Tribolium castaneum: one gene and its partner. Each later gene encodes a partner of the first gene's protein in a complex. Links are inferred from orthologs where the notes say so. Each region holds a gene or a part of one and is shown on either strand. Other genes may lie near its edges.

Evidence for each region.
Region 2: WDR79 (region 1) and Gar1 share a complex: the UniProt entries of both Homo sapiens proteins name them as parts of the telomerase holoenzyme complex. The link is inferred for Tribolium castaneum from reciprocal best matches to the Homo sapiens genes WRAP53 and GAR1.

Annotation. Positions count from the first base shown.
Region 1 is NC_087399.1:12,227,025-12,235,718, reverse strand, and holds the end of WDR79 (telomerase Cajal body protein 1 homolog), read left to right. Parts: 5' UTR 1-137; coding exon 138-514; intron 515-4,108; coding exon 4,109-4,386; intron 4,387-4,436; coding exon 4,437-4,609; intron 4,610-4,698; coding exon 4,699-4,863; intron 4,864-4,912; coding exon of another isoform or gene 4,913-4,924; exon of another isoform or gene 4,925-5,173; coding exon 5,174-5,395; 3' UTR 5,396-5,480; downstream 5,481-8,694. Other genes in the region: uncharacterized protein LOC657834, read right to left, coding at 8,061-8,184. UniProt on the Homo sapiens protein: RNA chaperone that plays a key role in telomere maintenance and RNA localization to Cajal bodies. Specifically recognizes and binds the Cajal body box (CAB box) present in both small Cajal body RNAs (scaRNAs) and telomerase RNA template component (TERC).
Region 2 is NC_087394.1:30,498,260-30,506,539, reverse strand, and holds Gar1 (H/ACA ribonucleoprotein complex subunit 1), read right to left. Parts: upstream 4,415-8,280; coding exon 4,043-4,414; exon of another isoform or gene 3,993-4,042; coding exon 3,717-3,992; 3' UTR 3,512-3,716; downstream 1-3,511. Other genes in the region: Larp7 (la-related protein 7), read left to right, coding at 1,811-1,985, 2,047-2,884, 2,939-3,161, 3,219-3,497; glutathione S-transferase, read left to right, coding at 6,544-6,604, 6,653-6,793, 6,855-7,022, 7,482-7,624, 7,671-7,838; NFX1-type zinc finger-containing protein 1, read right to left, coding at 7,925-8,280. UniProt on the Homo sapiens protein: Required for ribosome biogenesis and telomere maintenance. Part of the H/ACA small nucleolar ribonucleoprotein (H/ACA snoRNP) complex, which catalyzes pseudouridylation of rRNA.

The DNA of each region.
Region 1 (8,694 bases):
CTTGCGATCGTTTATGTCATTTTCTGTAGACACATTCCGACGTTGTTGATCCATTTTCGGTGTATTTGTGGCAATTTTGTCGTGTTGACTGTAAAAAAGCCGTGAATGTGTTTAGTTTTTAGGTGTCGTTAATAAAAATGACGGAGACAGTGACGGATCAACAACAATACGAAGCGGGCGAGGCCGTGCTCGGGCAGTCGTTCGTCTCGTACGCCAATTATAACTTTGAGAACTCAGCTTTAGAATTAGCACGGTGTCAGTGGTCGAATTATGCCGATCAACATTACCTCAAAGGGTGTAAGTGGTCGCCCGATGGGACCTGTCTCCTTACTGTGGTCCGAGGGGCTGGGATGCATGTCATGGAGCTGCCAACTGATCTCTACACGGGGGAGACAATCATGAATAGCCGACCCCTTGTGGCGCTCAGCCCCGCTGTCAGTGTGCCTGAGAGTGGACTCATCTACGATTATTGTTGGTATCCGGGGATGAATAGCGCAAATCCAGCAACGTGTTGGTATGTTTTGCATTCTGGTTTTCTAAGAGGAAGGAAATGACTGTCAAATTACGAATGTTGAAATTGAACCCAACAGTTTAAAGTGTGATAACATTTTATCCTTTACTAATATTGATTATTGATTGTTCAGATCAGACTTTCTCCTATTTCCGGTTGCCTTCTTTTTGTCCTTGTTGGAGTACATTTCTTTTTTAATCACAAAATGTATAACATATAGTCGATTCTTTCGTATAATCAACTGTCCAAAGGGACGTCAGGTTGGCATTATCGTAAATAGTATTTTTTTTATTTAAAGCTGGTACTAATTTTTATCTGGCTAATTTAATTTAATGGTCTTTAAGGGAGAGAATGGAGTGTTATACTCAAAAGTAAAAGTTTTTGGAAATTGTAGATTCTGAAAGTAGACACAAAATGATGTCCTAGTACAATCGGTCTGAGTTATTTTAAATCGGTACTTTTTTAGTAATAATAGAAAATTTGCGCTGTGACGTAAGCAATGTCACGACTAATGATTCGTCAGTTTTTCCTGCATACAATTAACGCTGCGACTGTGTTGTGTGCTAATATTTTGCAGAAGTTTGTGTTTTGGTAAAATGACTGCAGACTGCTCCTGAAGCACATCTTTCAAGCTATCTTTGTTGGCAAGTTTTCTATCTCTAGTTCTGTCAAACAGCAACATTGCTGACGTCAGGCCAGGAATTTTCACCTTTTCAATTATTTTTCTCCAAAACGGTGGAGCTTTGGTTAAAATAAAAAAATCTGGGTCGCCTATTTTGTTATTGGCTATCCATGTAAAAATTTTCATTTTTTAGTATAACACCCCATGTTTTAAATAGTAACTGTTCACAATTGCCGCCACACTCTACGTCAACTGGCCAGAAAAAGGTCCATCAGTAGCTCGCAATAATTAATAATTTATTTGTTTGTTTAGATTGGAAGACATAGGTTTTTTTAAACTATTCTTATGCAAAATTTTCTCCTGATTTCGAATCCTAAGTTATATTTATTGTTTAAAATTGCCTTCATTATGAAAAAGACGTTTCTATAAAAATTTTTTAAAAACTTAAAAGTGGTCAAATTTTGTGTTTACATTATTATATCCTCCTTCTGGATAAAGCTAGAATACTTATTTTTTTGCAAAAGATTCAAGGGTCACCGAGTTCCCATTTGTTCGAAAATGTAATTTTAGAGATATTGGAAGTCGATTTTGACGTATGGCTTACTACTTGATTCAAATATTTTATTCGAAAATGTCAAGAAATTTTCATAAAATTATCATTTCGAATTTGGTATCGCAAAAAGTTTCACTACAATGTTAAAAAAAAGTGAATGCAGAAGACGAGTGCAGATCAAGGCAAATGATATCCTTGTTTATTGAAAAAAAAATCACATTTTTTGTTTTGAGATAATTTCTGTGGGATCTCGTGTCTGATTAGTTATTAGGTAATCAAATTGAAATCGAATTATTTTATTTTGTGCTATACAAAACGCAAAATAAATAAAAGGGAGAAACAGAATTTGGAAGAAACGAAATAGCTATTGAAAGTCAAAAAATTTAATTTGAAATATATAATACAAATTAAAAAAATTCTGTTTTAATTTCACCGAATAATGTTTCCAAAATGAAGAGTACACAGTGTTAATTTTTTTGTTTATACAAATTTTGGTTCCTGACGAATTTTAAGTTGTGTTCTTTGCCCCTTAGGGTTGCCAAAGATTACCTTTGCAACATTATGGATAATTATACTAGTTGATTTTTTTCTAAGACCAGTGTTATCCCCTTTATTCGTTTCCTGTACCTCAAAAACCAAAGGTCGAATTGTTTGCGTGATTCTAAGCTTCTAGTGTTATCCACTTATCACATTTTTAATGCAATTTTTTGTTAATTTGTTGAAACATCGTAAAAATTCACGATCTGTCACTGTCACTGTTAGTTTATGGAAAGATTTTTGTCGCTGTTATTTAACAGAGAATGTTGCGGTAGAAATGTTACTAACAGAGGGTAACAGAGTTTACGGAATACGAATTTAAATAACAGCTGTAATTTTTACAGTAATAGAGCAATTGCATAGTAACAGAAGTTAGAGAATAGCACCATTAATTTCCTCTATTAATTTCTAGAGTTCCTATATTTACAATAAATAAATTTCCCAATAAAGGAACTCTAAGTCGAACTATTTTGCTCATTATTAAAATTTTTATTTATGTCGCTGAATGCAACAGAGCGGAGAACAACTTTATTTATTGTAATGATATTTTAAACAATTTCAAGTACGAATAAACAATGCACTAAAAATTATAATAAATGCTCAAAGTTTTGGCATGCACCGTTTGTAATAGCGTTCCTGGGGTGATCGTAGCATTAGCGGCATGAATTCGGTTCATGAACTCCTCAGAAATTCTTCTAAAAATTGCTTCTTCTGCAGCAACGGTTTTCGTACCTCTGGGCTGACGAAATTCTCTTGGTAAAAGATCCAAAAGGGATCCAAACGACCAGTTGATCGCATTCTTTGGTCCAGTAAAAATAATAATGATCAGTATTTAAATCATTTTTGCACAGTAAAAGATTTAAATGACAAGTAAACCATGCACAGTATTTTATTAAAATTTGCTCAGTAAAAAAATCGTATATGTACAGTATATAGTTTCAGTTTGCACAGTTTAAATAATAAACGCTCAGTAGCTAGCTTGCAGGCTGGGGCTTTGCCCCAGCGAACTAAAAGGAAACATACCCCTCGAACGATTAAGCTCGAAAACGTAAAACTCGAAATGTGGAATTCTACACTCTCTAGTTTTGAAATGTTATTATTTACTGTGCATTTATTATTTTTTACTGTGCAGTTATTATTTGTACTGTGCATTTATTATTTTTACTGATCAAAAATATATGTCGTTTAAATAAAATACTGTGCATTTAATTTGTACCGTTTTATTTTGCCGCTTTAACTCGAACTCGAAGCGCAAATGTTTATTGTGGATAATGGATTGTAGAAAAATAAATATTTTAACAAAAAAAGAACATAATGCAGCATTTCCAAAAATTACCGAAAGAATCCGACTTTTTGTAATCCGACAAGAACAGCAATTTATATTACTGAACTGTCTTGGTGAGAACTGAACATTTGGCAACCTTATTTGCAAACTTGGACTGATATCTTTAAAACTAACGCCCATAGACAAAAAACAGATTCAGAATCCTCGAATATTGTTGAATACGACAAGCTGGACCAAACCAAATAGATTCTTCGGATCTGTTCGAAATCCTCAGATTACTTACCGTTTGATTTTCGTTATCTTCTAATGAAACACTTATTATGGTAGTTGCAAGTAAATAGCTATTTGTGTACTAACAAAACGAAGGAAAGATATGTATTCCTCTCTAGAAGAGAAAAGAGGCTTTCCTTCAGTGTTATACACATGATGTTTTCGCCGGCTTCGTCAGAAAATATATTTCCCACAGGAGATAATTATATTTTTTGCTGAGGTCGTTGAGAATAGTGTTTGGCTGCAGTCGTAGTTTCGTTATAAAAACACGCACAAATGATAAAACTTTACGTCAAAACAGTTTGCTCATAATTCTAACTTTTGTTCCAGTTGGTTATCAAGTGGTCATGAAGGCCCAATCCATTTGTGGGACGCTTTCACAGGAAATTTGCGGTGTTCATACAGAGGGTACAACAATGTCGATGAACTGGAAGCTGCAATAAGCGTAACTTTTTCAGCTGATGGTCAGAATGTATTTTGTGGTTACAAGAAGAATGTTAAAATTTTTAGTACCGGTCGACCGGGACGGGAGTTTGTCGAGTATCCAACGACGCATCCTGCTTCCTGTCTGGTGGCTAGTCAAGCGCAGCCCGGCGTTGTAGCAATAGGTTGTTTCCAACAAAACTTATAAATCAAAATAACGTAGTAACTTAATTAGGTACCTGGAAAAACACCATCGAATTGGTAGCTCAAAGCGACGGTACATTCCGTCACCTGTGCAAGTTGCAAGGCCACAGAGGGGGCATTACATCAATGGCTTTCTCACTGGACGGCTTCCGGCTGTACAGCGGCGCGCGAAAGGATAAAGAAATCATCTGCTGGGATCTACGAGTAAGATTGTTAACCCAACATTCTAATTACAAAAAGGAAAACACATTCGAAAAAAATCAATTTCGTTTCTAACATGGCTGATTTTCAAGGTGCCAGGTCGGCCAATGTTCTGTTTGACACGCGAAGCAAATACCAACCAAAAAATCAGTATTGACCTGTCCATGTGTGGCAACTGGCTCGTCTCAGGGGGCACGGATGGTAAGGTGCAAGTTTGGAATGTTCACGATAGTACCTATCCAAGCGTACACATGCAGGTGAGTACCCTTTGGAATTACCTCTTATGTAATTATTTCATGTTTTCAGTATCTAATTTAGTCACGTTTCTATTTGAATCATAATTTAAAAAAAATCATTTTGTCTTTATTTGTTGTTACACCAATACTTACAGGTTCCCAGGACTCTATACTTTGTCTCATTTTGTTTCACTCTTTATTTTGTTTGTTTTCTTTCAATTTTATGTAAAATAAATAAAGTGAGGTCCTTAGGAACAGTGACAAATTCAACTTTTGGTAACAACGAAGACTTTGTAAGAGGTTATAATTAATTGGGGATCAACGCTTTCAGATGCCTCTGCATAGTGACAGTTGCAACGGCGTAAGTTTACATCCTTATCGACCGATTCTTGCAACCGCTACAGGACAGCACCATCCTCTAGACCCTCTTCATCATACAAGAACTGCAATGGTTTATGAAAATGCGCTGTGTATGTGGTGGGTGGGCCAACAACAACCAGATCCTGATTTGCTAGCTTCGATCATGAAAGCGGCTGCTAAGTCTAACTCTTAGGTTTTTTGCATTTACGTTAGTGGGGTGCCACATCACATTCTAGATGATAATATTGTGCATTAAATAAAAAGTATTTTCACACTAAGTTTTATTTTATCATCAACCCTTAAACAATATGACGATTCCTAACTATTTGGGGTCGGGAAATACGTTATTTTATTCCTTGGTTGAAAAGTGACATCTAGGATTTCCAACTCTGCGAGGCTATCAAATAAAAAAAAAAAAAAATTTTGCTTCCAGCAAAAGTATAAATCCAAAGTGAATGAATTTTTTGGTGGCGAACTTAGAGTGATACAGAAGACTCTTGAAACCAACTTGGTTAAGATAATGGAATAGATGTGTGGGTACTGTATATTAAAGTTGCATTCCGAATTCATTACAAAGAATATTCGAACTTGGCCGAAGTGGTTGTAGGTATGGATGTTTTTATTTGTACAAAATTTGTCGAATCAAATTATTTGAATAAAAACATCCATGATATAGGGTGGGGCTAAAGTATTGTCACAATGTAAATTGGCTACCATTTTGTTAAAAATAAAAATAAGTGGGTTCTGTTTTCTCGGAAAGATTATAAAAAGTTGTAAAACTGATGACGTTAAGTTGAAAAAATGATATCGGTTATATGACCACCTCCAGAGTTCGAGCACATTTGAGCTCATGTTACAGCATTTGAACTGTTTCTCGCTAAATATCTGACTGCAAATTGTTGATTTCTTTTTCAATGTTACCTTTCAATACTTGCAAGGTTGTGGATTGTTATGGTAAACGCGAGATTTCAAAAAGTCCAAAGGAAAAAGTTTGGCTCGTCAGATCTGGCGGTCTGATCGGCCAGTTCATCCCCAAAACGGGAAGTCACACTAACGCAAATTGTTTAACCTTCATCTGCATATGTATGTGTCCAATGTCCAATGGACGCTACGTTGTTTATAATTTTCATTGCAATTTTTATTTATACGCCAAAAAAATCCAAATAAATTTATATGTATTTCTAAATGTTTACAGATGTGTTACGTAAAAATCTTAATTTTTATATTTACTTGAAATGGTACAAATTGGTCCATTGAGCCAAACATAATAAGTAGAATAAATATAGCAAAGGGCTACAATGCAAACGCTATAATTGTCATTTTAAAATACATAGAAAATCAAAGACAACCTCTGAGCCATGTGATAACACTTAGCAAACATGGTAAAAAAACAATTACCTGCGTACGGTGACAATACGAGTGGCATTTTTCATCCTTTTTAAAAAATTATTGATTTTAGTTGTTTTAAATATGTTTGATTAATTAAATAGTAATCAAGTGATAAGAAGAGGAGTGTGAAAAACCAAAGTCGTTCCCACAAGTTTTAATTAAAACCAGATTTACATGTATGAAGGGGCAAAGTGCTTTGTGTTGAAGTGTCCACCGATAGAAAATCAGGATATAATTAAGTAATAATTATGCACTCGAAGACACTGCAGTGAAAATAGATACCAGATTTTTAAGTTTGGTTTTCTCCTTTCTATTCTACGTTATTTTACATCTTCTTTTTTTCCTGTGTTTGGTTTGCGTATCACTGTTCTCTTTTTCTTTTTTCATTCTCCTGTCATCCTTCCTTCTTCTTTATTTACTAATGTCTTTATGTATTCTCTCATCGTTTTTGTCTTCCATTCTCTGTTCCTTCGGTCCAAGGAGGTTAACGTCCTTGCTTTGGTCATATAAAACAGGACGGATTTTGGGTTATATTTTTGTAGATAACGTTACTATAGAAACTTTTTTCTTTTTTAACTTAAGAATTTGTGACCTTTGGAATTACTCCTCAAAATTTTGTATTTTTATTAAAAACAGAAATGTACGGAATGTTTATAAAAAGTGTAGGATTTCAGGTGGTTCGGGAATTTGAAATTGCCGCATTTCATCATCATATTTCTATGAAATTTCTTAAAATTACCAGTTTTTATCTCATCAGGCAACCAGTAAACTAAATTTCTCATATACTAACATTGTTTTTTGTTTTGTTTTTTTTTTCTGGAAAGAAGCGGCAAATTGTTAATACTACGATCATATTCATTTATAGACAAATTGTACAACGGGTGAACAAAACGAAGATCTGCTAATATATGTTTATTAGTTTAGTCCAAGTACAAATCTGTTTATAAAATATATAAAGACTTTACAAGGCACATAGCTTAACTTAGGCAACAAATTGAGATTATTGTCTTTTACTCATGCAGGCACTGATATTAATAGTTTCCATAATATAGTATAAACCAACGACTCTTTCTAAACTGTTATCAATATAAAAAAATTACTTGTATTAACTCTTATTAGTTACATACCTCATGGCAAAAGCAACAACCCTTGATAAAATCATCCTTAAATGTAAGTTAATAAATAAGCGTTTAATACAATCGTTAAATCTGCATAAAAAGTAGAAAAAATATTGTTATAAAAAACCGCTGGGCAGATCGTCAAACAATAAATTAATTACATACAGTATCACCTATAAGAAAATGCCATAATACATTAACTTGATCACAGAACAATAACATACACGTTAATTAATTAAAGCAATAAAAAACGAATTTACAAACAACAATTTGTGGTAAAATGTAGACGCAAGGAACTGATTGAAGAAGTAGGAGCCTAAAACTAATACAAGGAACATTTTTGTCGAAATTTCAATCTTCGTCCTTGAAACGTCTGTAGATGGACTGTACGTAGGTGAAGACACATTTCCAATCCGGTTTACGGCAGGCCACCATGTCGTCGACGTCAAGAAGCGGTGCTATATCCGCCTTCTCACTACGAAAAACCATTATTTATTAGTTCTACAGAAAAAATATGCCTACTACGACAGAGACCCACTTCGTGCGTCTGGACTCCAAATTCACGACAAACATGAGAAAAAAAATATCGTATTAAAAATTAGAAAATTTCGTCCCATATTTTTCGAAAATATTTCCTTTATCTCTTATTAGTGAAAATTTAATGCTGTACCTGACCACTTTTTTGTTAAAGTTGGAGAAAAGAATCCGAAAATATACATATATTTGATATACAAAACAAAACACAAAGACAAAAGGCGAAAAGCAAAAAACTTTTAGATTAAAAACATAAAAAAATATTAAGGACATATGTCATAATTAGAAAAATTAAAAAAAATATCAAAAAGTAAAATGCGAAAACAACCCATTAAGAATAACAGAAAAAGAAAACTAGTTAAAAGAGAAAATGGGGATAGAGAGAGGGGAAGTAGAAGAGAGAGGTATTATTAAAAACATTGACTAGGTAACGTCAAAGATAAAATGAAGA
Region 2 (8,280 bases), on another chromosome or scaffold:
GTCTCTAAACATTTCTTTTATTCAAAACGTATTTTTCCTGTTTTTTTTTTCCAAAACCCTCTACATTACGTACAAGTATTTTTTTATACTTGGCACTTGGCCTCTACTATAAAACTCACCCTATATGGACAACACCTGCTGGTGGTACTCTCATTCTCATTATCTCAACAGGAAAAATTATCTAGTAAGAGATTGAAAAGTAAGTAGGTATAAATTTTTTACAATAAATTCTTTATGAATAATTTTTAATCAAATAGAAAAACTTTCATAATGAAAAATTTGTGTAATTGAATAGACAATTTTTACATTTTTATAAAATGAGTGTATTTACCTCATTTTTAAAAAGAAATCGGAAAAAAATTGACAAAAAGATAAATAATAATCTATAAGTAGGTATTCAGGTTGTATGATGATTGAACGTGCTTATAATTATTGTAACATTATCCACTTGCCTATCGTCTGCTAAAACTTCATGCAGACGTTAGTTTGAGTGACTTAGATAAAAGACTTAAGCCTAATTTATCTTGATGACTTAAATGCTTGTTATCTACTTGTTAATAAAACAATGACATCAGTAAATCGTTTTACAATGTGAGTACAATTAAGTACACACATAAATGATATGAATAGGGTACAAAGTTTTAATTTAAGTCACTTGACTTTTTTTATTGATAGCTGGTGTATCTAAATACAAAAAGTAGTTATAAACATTTGGATAGGACAAGTTGTAGTTATTCTAACGTTTGTTTTCTTTGTTTGTTTGTTGTTATTTTGTATTTCGTATTATTTTAAACTTTTAACTAGAAAAAACTTATACATTTACGGATCAATATTGTGGATCAATGATTCTTTTAGACCAGAATTAAATTAAAATTGCAAGGACTAACAATTAAAAAAATTAATGTGTTTTTCAAAATATCTTTGCAAATGTACATACTATAACTTTTTATTTTGAATTTGCCTCATTAATTGTGGCCAAAAGCCAAAAGATAAAAACATCTCCAAAAGTACATAGTTAAATAATAAATAAGCACGAAAAAACATCGGCAAAGATACTATGAGTTAGTTATGATAAATGTTTTTTTTAAATGACTGTTGTAATTTAATCTGATGAATAATTTTACTTATGGTTTCATAAAATTTAAACCTATTGTAAGATTGCTCAAGTTGGTGGCTTATATGTTGCTAAGGCGATAACATCAGTACTTATACGTGCTGATGTTTAAATTTCACAATCCATAAGGCAAACAATATAAGTATGTCAGTGATTTAAGTAACTTAATGTAATAAACAACTTACTTTTATCATTTTATCGGTGACTTTATAGTTCGTTTCTAAGAAAGATGAAATCAAGGTGAGTATTCAGTTTCACATAATGGATTATTTGAAACGATTTGAAGTACTATTCAAATTCATGGTAAAACTTAATTAAATTAGTTAATAAAGTATAAAAGTTTTTTTTTCATAATCTAAACTAAATACATAGAGTTATTCACTTAAGACTTCACGCCTGATTAGGTAAAAAGTGCAGCACACAATGCACTAGGAGTAGCATGGGTGTAATTGATACAACTAAACATAATTATTTTTTGAATAAGAGCTATCTCCTATGAATAAGAGTAAGCGGCGTATAATTTAAAAAGTAAATGATTTTTTTTGCATTCTAAAAACATTTTTTTTAATTAGGCAACCAAATTTACCTCCAACAAATATTTTTTTTCTATGGTTGGCGGCAGTTTCTTTTTCAATTTCATTTCCAAACGCTAAGTTAGGTTATAATTTTCATTTTTACTTCTGCAAAGTATTGAAAATGGAAAATGAAACGAAAGAAAATGCAAATGCACACGACGATTCAATACTTAAAAAAGGTCGCCATCGAAAAAAGCAACTCTACAATTCCATTTTGCAGCAAATGGAATTTTATTTTAGCGACTCTAACCTCACCAAAGATAGATTTCTATCTCAATTAATAAAGGAGAATCCTTGTAAGTGACTATATGATTATTTTATGAGTAGTTGTAGGTAAATACCAAGCACTTTTTTCAGTTGTCGACCTGAACGTATTTTTGAAATTTAACAAAATTACTAAACTCACAACCAGCATAGATGATATCCAAAAAGCTGTACAAAAGTCGCAGTTAATCGAATTATCAGAAGATCGTAGTAGAATTCGTCGTACAAAACCGGTTAAAGAAAAGGCTAACGTTGATGATTGTACGATTTATGTAGAACGCCTAAAATCCGATGCAACTCATGAATGGTTGAACTCTGTTTTTTCTGAATTTGGAAATGTGGTCTACGTTTCTATACCAAAATACAAAAACAATAGTGCCATAAAGGGTTTTGCTTTTGTCGAATTCGAGAAAGAAAAGGAAGCGCAAAATGCTTTAAATTACTTTGAAAGCATTGGCTGCAAAATGCCGTCAAATACAGAACCAGAAACTCTTTGTAGTATTAAAACATTTGAAGAAAGTAATGAACAATCTGAGGCTTCCTCTAAAAATTCTACACTGAAGCCAAAATCTGGAGAAGACGAAAAGGCAACAAAAAAGCGAAAACTTGAAGACAATAGTGAGAATAGCGAAAAACTAGATAGTGAACACTGTGAGAGTAAAGCGGAGGAAAAAATAAGAAAACGAAAACTTGAAGAAAGTGAATCCGGCGAAAGTGAAGAAAAAGGGAAAAAAATGAAAGTCGATGATAGTAAGCACACTGAAGAAAATGATGAACACAGTGAAAGTGACGAAAAAGAAAAAAATTCAAAACATGATACTGGAGACGTTTCTGAGTCGGACGATGCCGAAAATAAGAAAAAGAAGAAATTGAAAAAAGAACACAAAAAGAAAAATTACATAAAAGAATTGGGCCTCCAAGTGTTATCAAAGTAAGTGAAGCAGCTAGAATTATCTTTAATCATTGATAAATAATTGTTTTTTAGAAAAGAGTGGAAAAAGATGCGAAATCGGTATCTAGATTTACAAAAGAAGAAAATGAAAGAGTTTAAAAAACACCTTCTAAAAGCCAAGTTTAATCAACCAAATTATGAACAAAAGTCGAAAACTCCCACTGCTAAGACTGAACTCAACAAAGAGGATTTTACCAAGGGACTTATTGTAAAAATAAAGCTAACCGAAGCTACCCTGGATATAAAGAAACTTAAGGTAAATTTTCTAAACTAAATATCTTGGCCAATTTATTTGCGATAAATCGTTTTTCAGAATGAAATTAAAACTTCTTCAGCTGATATATTGTACGTAGATATTCCAAACCCTGGCAGTGAGAACATTTATGTAAGATTTAACACCACGGAGGGCGCTAAAAATTTTTGCTCCCAAGAATCTTTTGGCAAAAAAGAGGTATTAACAGGACAGGAAGAATCTTCATATTGGGAAAAAATTAAAACAGATCGTGAGGATAAACTAAACAAAGCAAAAAAGAAACAACGTGGTAGAGACAAACTGTTAAAGAAAGCAAAACATACAAAATTTGATGATTAAGGTTTTGTTTTCAGTTTAAATTTTTTTTAAATATTCTTTATTTATTAACTTTGTCAAACAGTGGCACCATCCATTTCGTGTTGTTTGCTGACATATTCACACAAAAATTTGAAATAACCTGTAGTTCTTATTTTTCATAGATCTATTTTCGTAATAAAAATTTCATACACTTAATGGAACAATTGCCAACCACAAAAAACATTGGTCACAATTTCAAGTCTACCACCTCTTGCCGCCGCCGCCCCCTCCTCGGCCGCCGCCAAATCCACCCCCACGACCACCTCTAAAACCGCCGCCGCCCCCACGACCCCCACGTCCACCGAAATTGCCGCCTCCTCTTCCTCCAAACCCGCCGCGATTGCCGCCCCCTCTGCCACCACCGCGGCCTCCGCCACCCCCACGACCTCCCCCTCGACCGCCTCGTTTCTGGACTGAGCCTGGGGGCTTCGGTAGGAATCTTTGAAGTGGTAACAACTTCGCAGGATCAATAAACAACTGCAAAACATTATTTTAGATGTGTGAATGGTAAGTGAATTTTTTTATACCTTTTGATTCTTTTTAAAACTGCTAGCTTTTATGTCGTCTCCGAGACGTATCGAAACGTAATAATCTCTGAGATTTCCAAAAATTTCATCAATTTTTCCGATTTGTTCCTTATTTTCGAGGTAAATCGGCGCATTGAAAAATGGAACGTCTTCTATTTCTACTTTAGCAACTAAATCATCTTGTACGGTGTAATCGAAGTAGCCCAAAGGAATCACTCTCTCAGGAGGGCCTTGATCATAGTTTCGCCCGCCGCCCCCGCGACCACCAAAACTATTTCTCCCGCCGCCTCCACCAAAATTTCGAGCGCCGCCGCCCCCACGACCACGACCTCCAAAGCCGCCACCACCGCCGCCTCGGCCACGAAAAGACATTTTGTTTCACTCCTCAAATAATTAGAAACGTAAAAGAGCGTCCCTTTGTAAACACGTGGTTTACACTAAATTTTCAGTGCGGCAACATAACCTCTCCTGCAAACGTAACCTCCAACTGTAAACACTCCTAAACTTTGGGCCCTCTAGGAGTTTTCTGAGTTACCATCAAAACAGAAAACTGTAAAGTTAGAAGATGAAGCTATAACTTCAAACCACATGTGTATAATTAGTTGCATACTTTGAGGGAAAAAAACATTTTATTTTTAAATTAACCTTGAACAAAATATTGCTACGCCCCACACTTCCCATTGGTTTCCTTTCTTGTTGAAATAACCATTTAAAGCTGATTCTAGCAACAGTGCATAATTATTAATTATTTGACTTCGTTCTGGGAAAGGTTCCATTGCGAATATAGCCAGTGATTAACATTTTCCAACAATTATTATCATCTGGTAAGTACTACACATTCTTTTTTTAACCATTAATTCCCTCAATTAAATTAAATAGGTACTAGTTACTTTGTTAGGCCACATAATGATGAATTCTTAGTCACTTCACATTTATGTTGGGGTGTCCATTTTCGTAATTTTTTTTTTACTGGTTTTTGATTTTTGGTTAAGTGGTGTACCTATATTTTTTTTTATTTACAAGGGGTTAACAGGTTTCGTTCAGTATTAACCGGAAATTCTAAAATTTTACGCTTCGACAGGTGTGTGAACCGGCTTATCAGAGTATTGTTTAGTGCAGTAAGTATGTAAAAAAATGATATAAATTATATCTAATAGGTACTATATCTAAATAAAAACCAGTAATTATACCCAACAAAAACTTGCAACACAAGTTGAATAATGGAATTTCAAATTTAGAAGAATCCTCTATATATACCACCTTGTACAAAATATTTTTTTTAGGTAGGGTGGGAGGATGTTGGGAGCTACGATATTATTTCGTTGTATCAAGGTCTTTCTGCTGTTTTTATAAGCTATAAGAACATCTGTGAAATAAATTAAAATTTAAAACACAAGTAAATGTACATCAGGGTTTTCCTGCGTTAAAATATAAAACTTTTCCACTTAAATAAAAACGCTAATTTTTTCAGCGATATTATAGTAACTTTTTAAATGCGTTAAAATCACTTATAAAATATTTTTTATTTGGGTTACTCCTAAATTATTATTATTTGATACTACATACTTATAATCTAACAAAAAAATATCCGTACGTAATATTCTACTACCTACTGTAGTAACACCAAGTTGAATAAATTGTCCTATACTATTAAAAAATATAATGAAAACTTCCATAAATTTGTGAAAACTATTAGGTCTTATAAGTATAATATCTATAATACTTAAGCACTGTTTGTTTTGTTACAAATCTGCTAGTCATTTTTCATGTTCGTTTCCTTGAGAAAACATTACAAAATTTCATTATCTAAAAAATGTTTTGATCAAAAATTCTGCAGTGTAATGTACCTTTTTTCAATTGAGTCACCACTGCAAACCAGTGATGTTTTATTGATTGCATTATCTTATAAATACCTACATTATTAAACATCCGCTACTACATATTTGTATTATTAGTGATAACTTAATAAAATACAAATAGCTTTTCTTGGAGTCAAAAAATATCACACAATATTCTCTATCTCACATACTCGCATGTTATCGCTTACGAGGAAGAAAGTAAAGATTACTGCTTTTTATATCAACTTTAAAAATACTACAAGTGATCTACATGTTATCATTCCCCCTAGCAACGCATAGATTAATATTACTCTTATTTGTATTCTTATCTTTTTATTTTGTAACTACATTTGAACTTAAAAAACTATAAAACTTTGGTATCAGCTTGTACTCTAGGGCCGTGTAATACTTATAGGACAAAATCTTTATCATAAAATTGACTGAATCTGAAACTGATATCTCCAGCATTTACCAGTCATGAAAGTATGAAAAATGTTATAATAAGAGTAATGTGTTAGGATTTTTCCGCTCTCGGTGTAACAACACTCATTAAATAGCTGCCACAAAATCGATTTTTGTTATGGTAACCGTTTAATTGAATTAACACCATAAAACAAAAACAGAATTAACTTGTCACGTAAGTGTCACATTAACGCATTGAAAATGATGGAAGGAGCTTGCATAAAGCGCACCCGCAAGTCAATTAACATATTCAATACAACAGGTGTTTCCACCATTTTCAGTATTTAACAGTTATGTGTTTAATTTCCAGAAGAAATGGCTCCTGCATATAAATTAACCTACTTCCCAGTGGAGGCCCTCGCCGAACCCATCAGATTCCTCCTCAACTACGGCGGAATCGAATTTGAGGACCACCGCTTCGACCGCGAAAACTGGCCCCAACTCAAACCCAGTGCGTAATCTTTCCCAAGCCTTAATTAATTAATTGATAACAATACTTTTAATACTCTCAGACATGCCCTTTGGCCAAGTCCCCATTTTGGAATACAACGGGAAGGTGGCACACCAAAGTGTTGCCATGGCTAGATTTTTCGCCAAAAAGGTCAAACTAGTCGGCAATGACGATTGGGAAGATCTGGAAATCGACGCCATCGTGGACACCATCAGCGATTTGCGCCAAAGTGAGCAATTATATTTACAAATAGCTAGGACGTGTTCAAGTTAATTGATACGCTTTCGTTTTTATGACTTTTTAACCAAAATAATGGCAAAGTATCGAACAAAACACATGTTGAATTCGTTTCATATCGGTCGCTTGGTGTGCATTTATTTATTTATTGTAATAAATTCACTGCAAAATGATTTTGCTTCAAATGTTGCTTGACTCAAGTGGTGACGATCGGTTTCAAAAATAAAATTGAACCGGAAATCCCTCAAAATTTAAATATAAAGACTACAGCGACAGTTCGCTTTAACATTTTACATTATTTGTTAAAAAAATTCGAGAATGCAGAAAAACTTCTCACGGAAATCTGGAGGTAGAAGAAACTTTTTTTACAACGCATATTTGGGAAGCAAAACATTTCGATGCCGTCTTAATATTTTATCAGGACTTTCTAAAATTTTCAACTGTTTAACAGAAATCGCCCTTTACCATTACGAGCAAAACGAAGCTGTTAAGGAATCTAGGAAAGAGCCCCTATTTAAGGAGACCATCCCTTATTACTTGCAACGTCTGGATGCCATTGTCAAGGCTAACAATGGACATCTTGCCGTTGGAAAGGTATAAATTTGTCTCGAGTTACAGAATTCCACTTTTATTATTTCAGCTAACATGGGCCGATTTATTCTTTGTTGCCCTGTTGAAATATCTGTGTTTTATGTGCGGTAGCGACATAATCGCCGACTATCCGAACCTTGTTGCTTTGAAAAAAAGCGTTTTGGAAATACCAGCAATCAAGAACTGGGTAGAGAAGCGTCCGAAGTCTGACATGTAACGCGAATAAGCACCATTAATAAGACAACTACTTGTAATAATAAATTTAATAAATCAATAAAGTATAATCGTGTTTAATTAACTGGATCAATCATCGAAATCTAACAAAAAATTGCCCATATTGTTTGCAGTTTCCGACCAAGCGGGAAACTGGGCTCCATCCATTTCAGAAGCCAACGCATTATCGGCGCGCAGTGTGTGACTACCTCCCCCTATTTTGCACGCACATTCCGGGCATTTTGACTCCACCATTGCGCCCCCACAGTCAGCTATGCAGTAAGGGTGGCCATTGGGGCACTTGAACCAATGCCCTTGCCTGAAACCCATGGCTTTAACAATTTCCCTTTTTTCCTGTTCTGAAATTCCTATTCCCGACGCGACCAATCGACTCAACTCTTGCAATAATTCCTTGACCGTTTGTTCATCCTGGTCATAAAACTTGC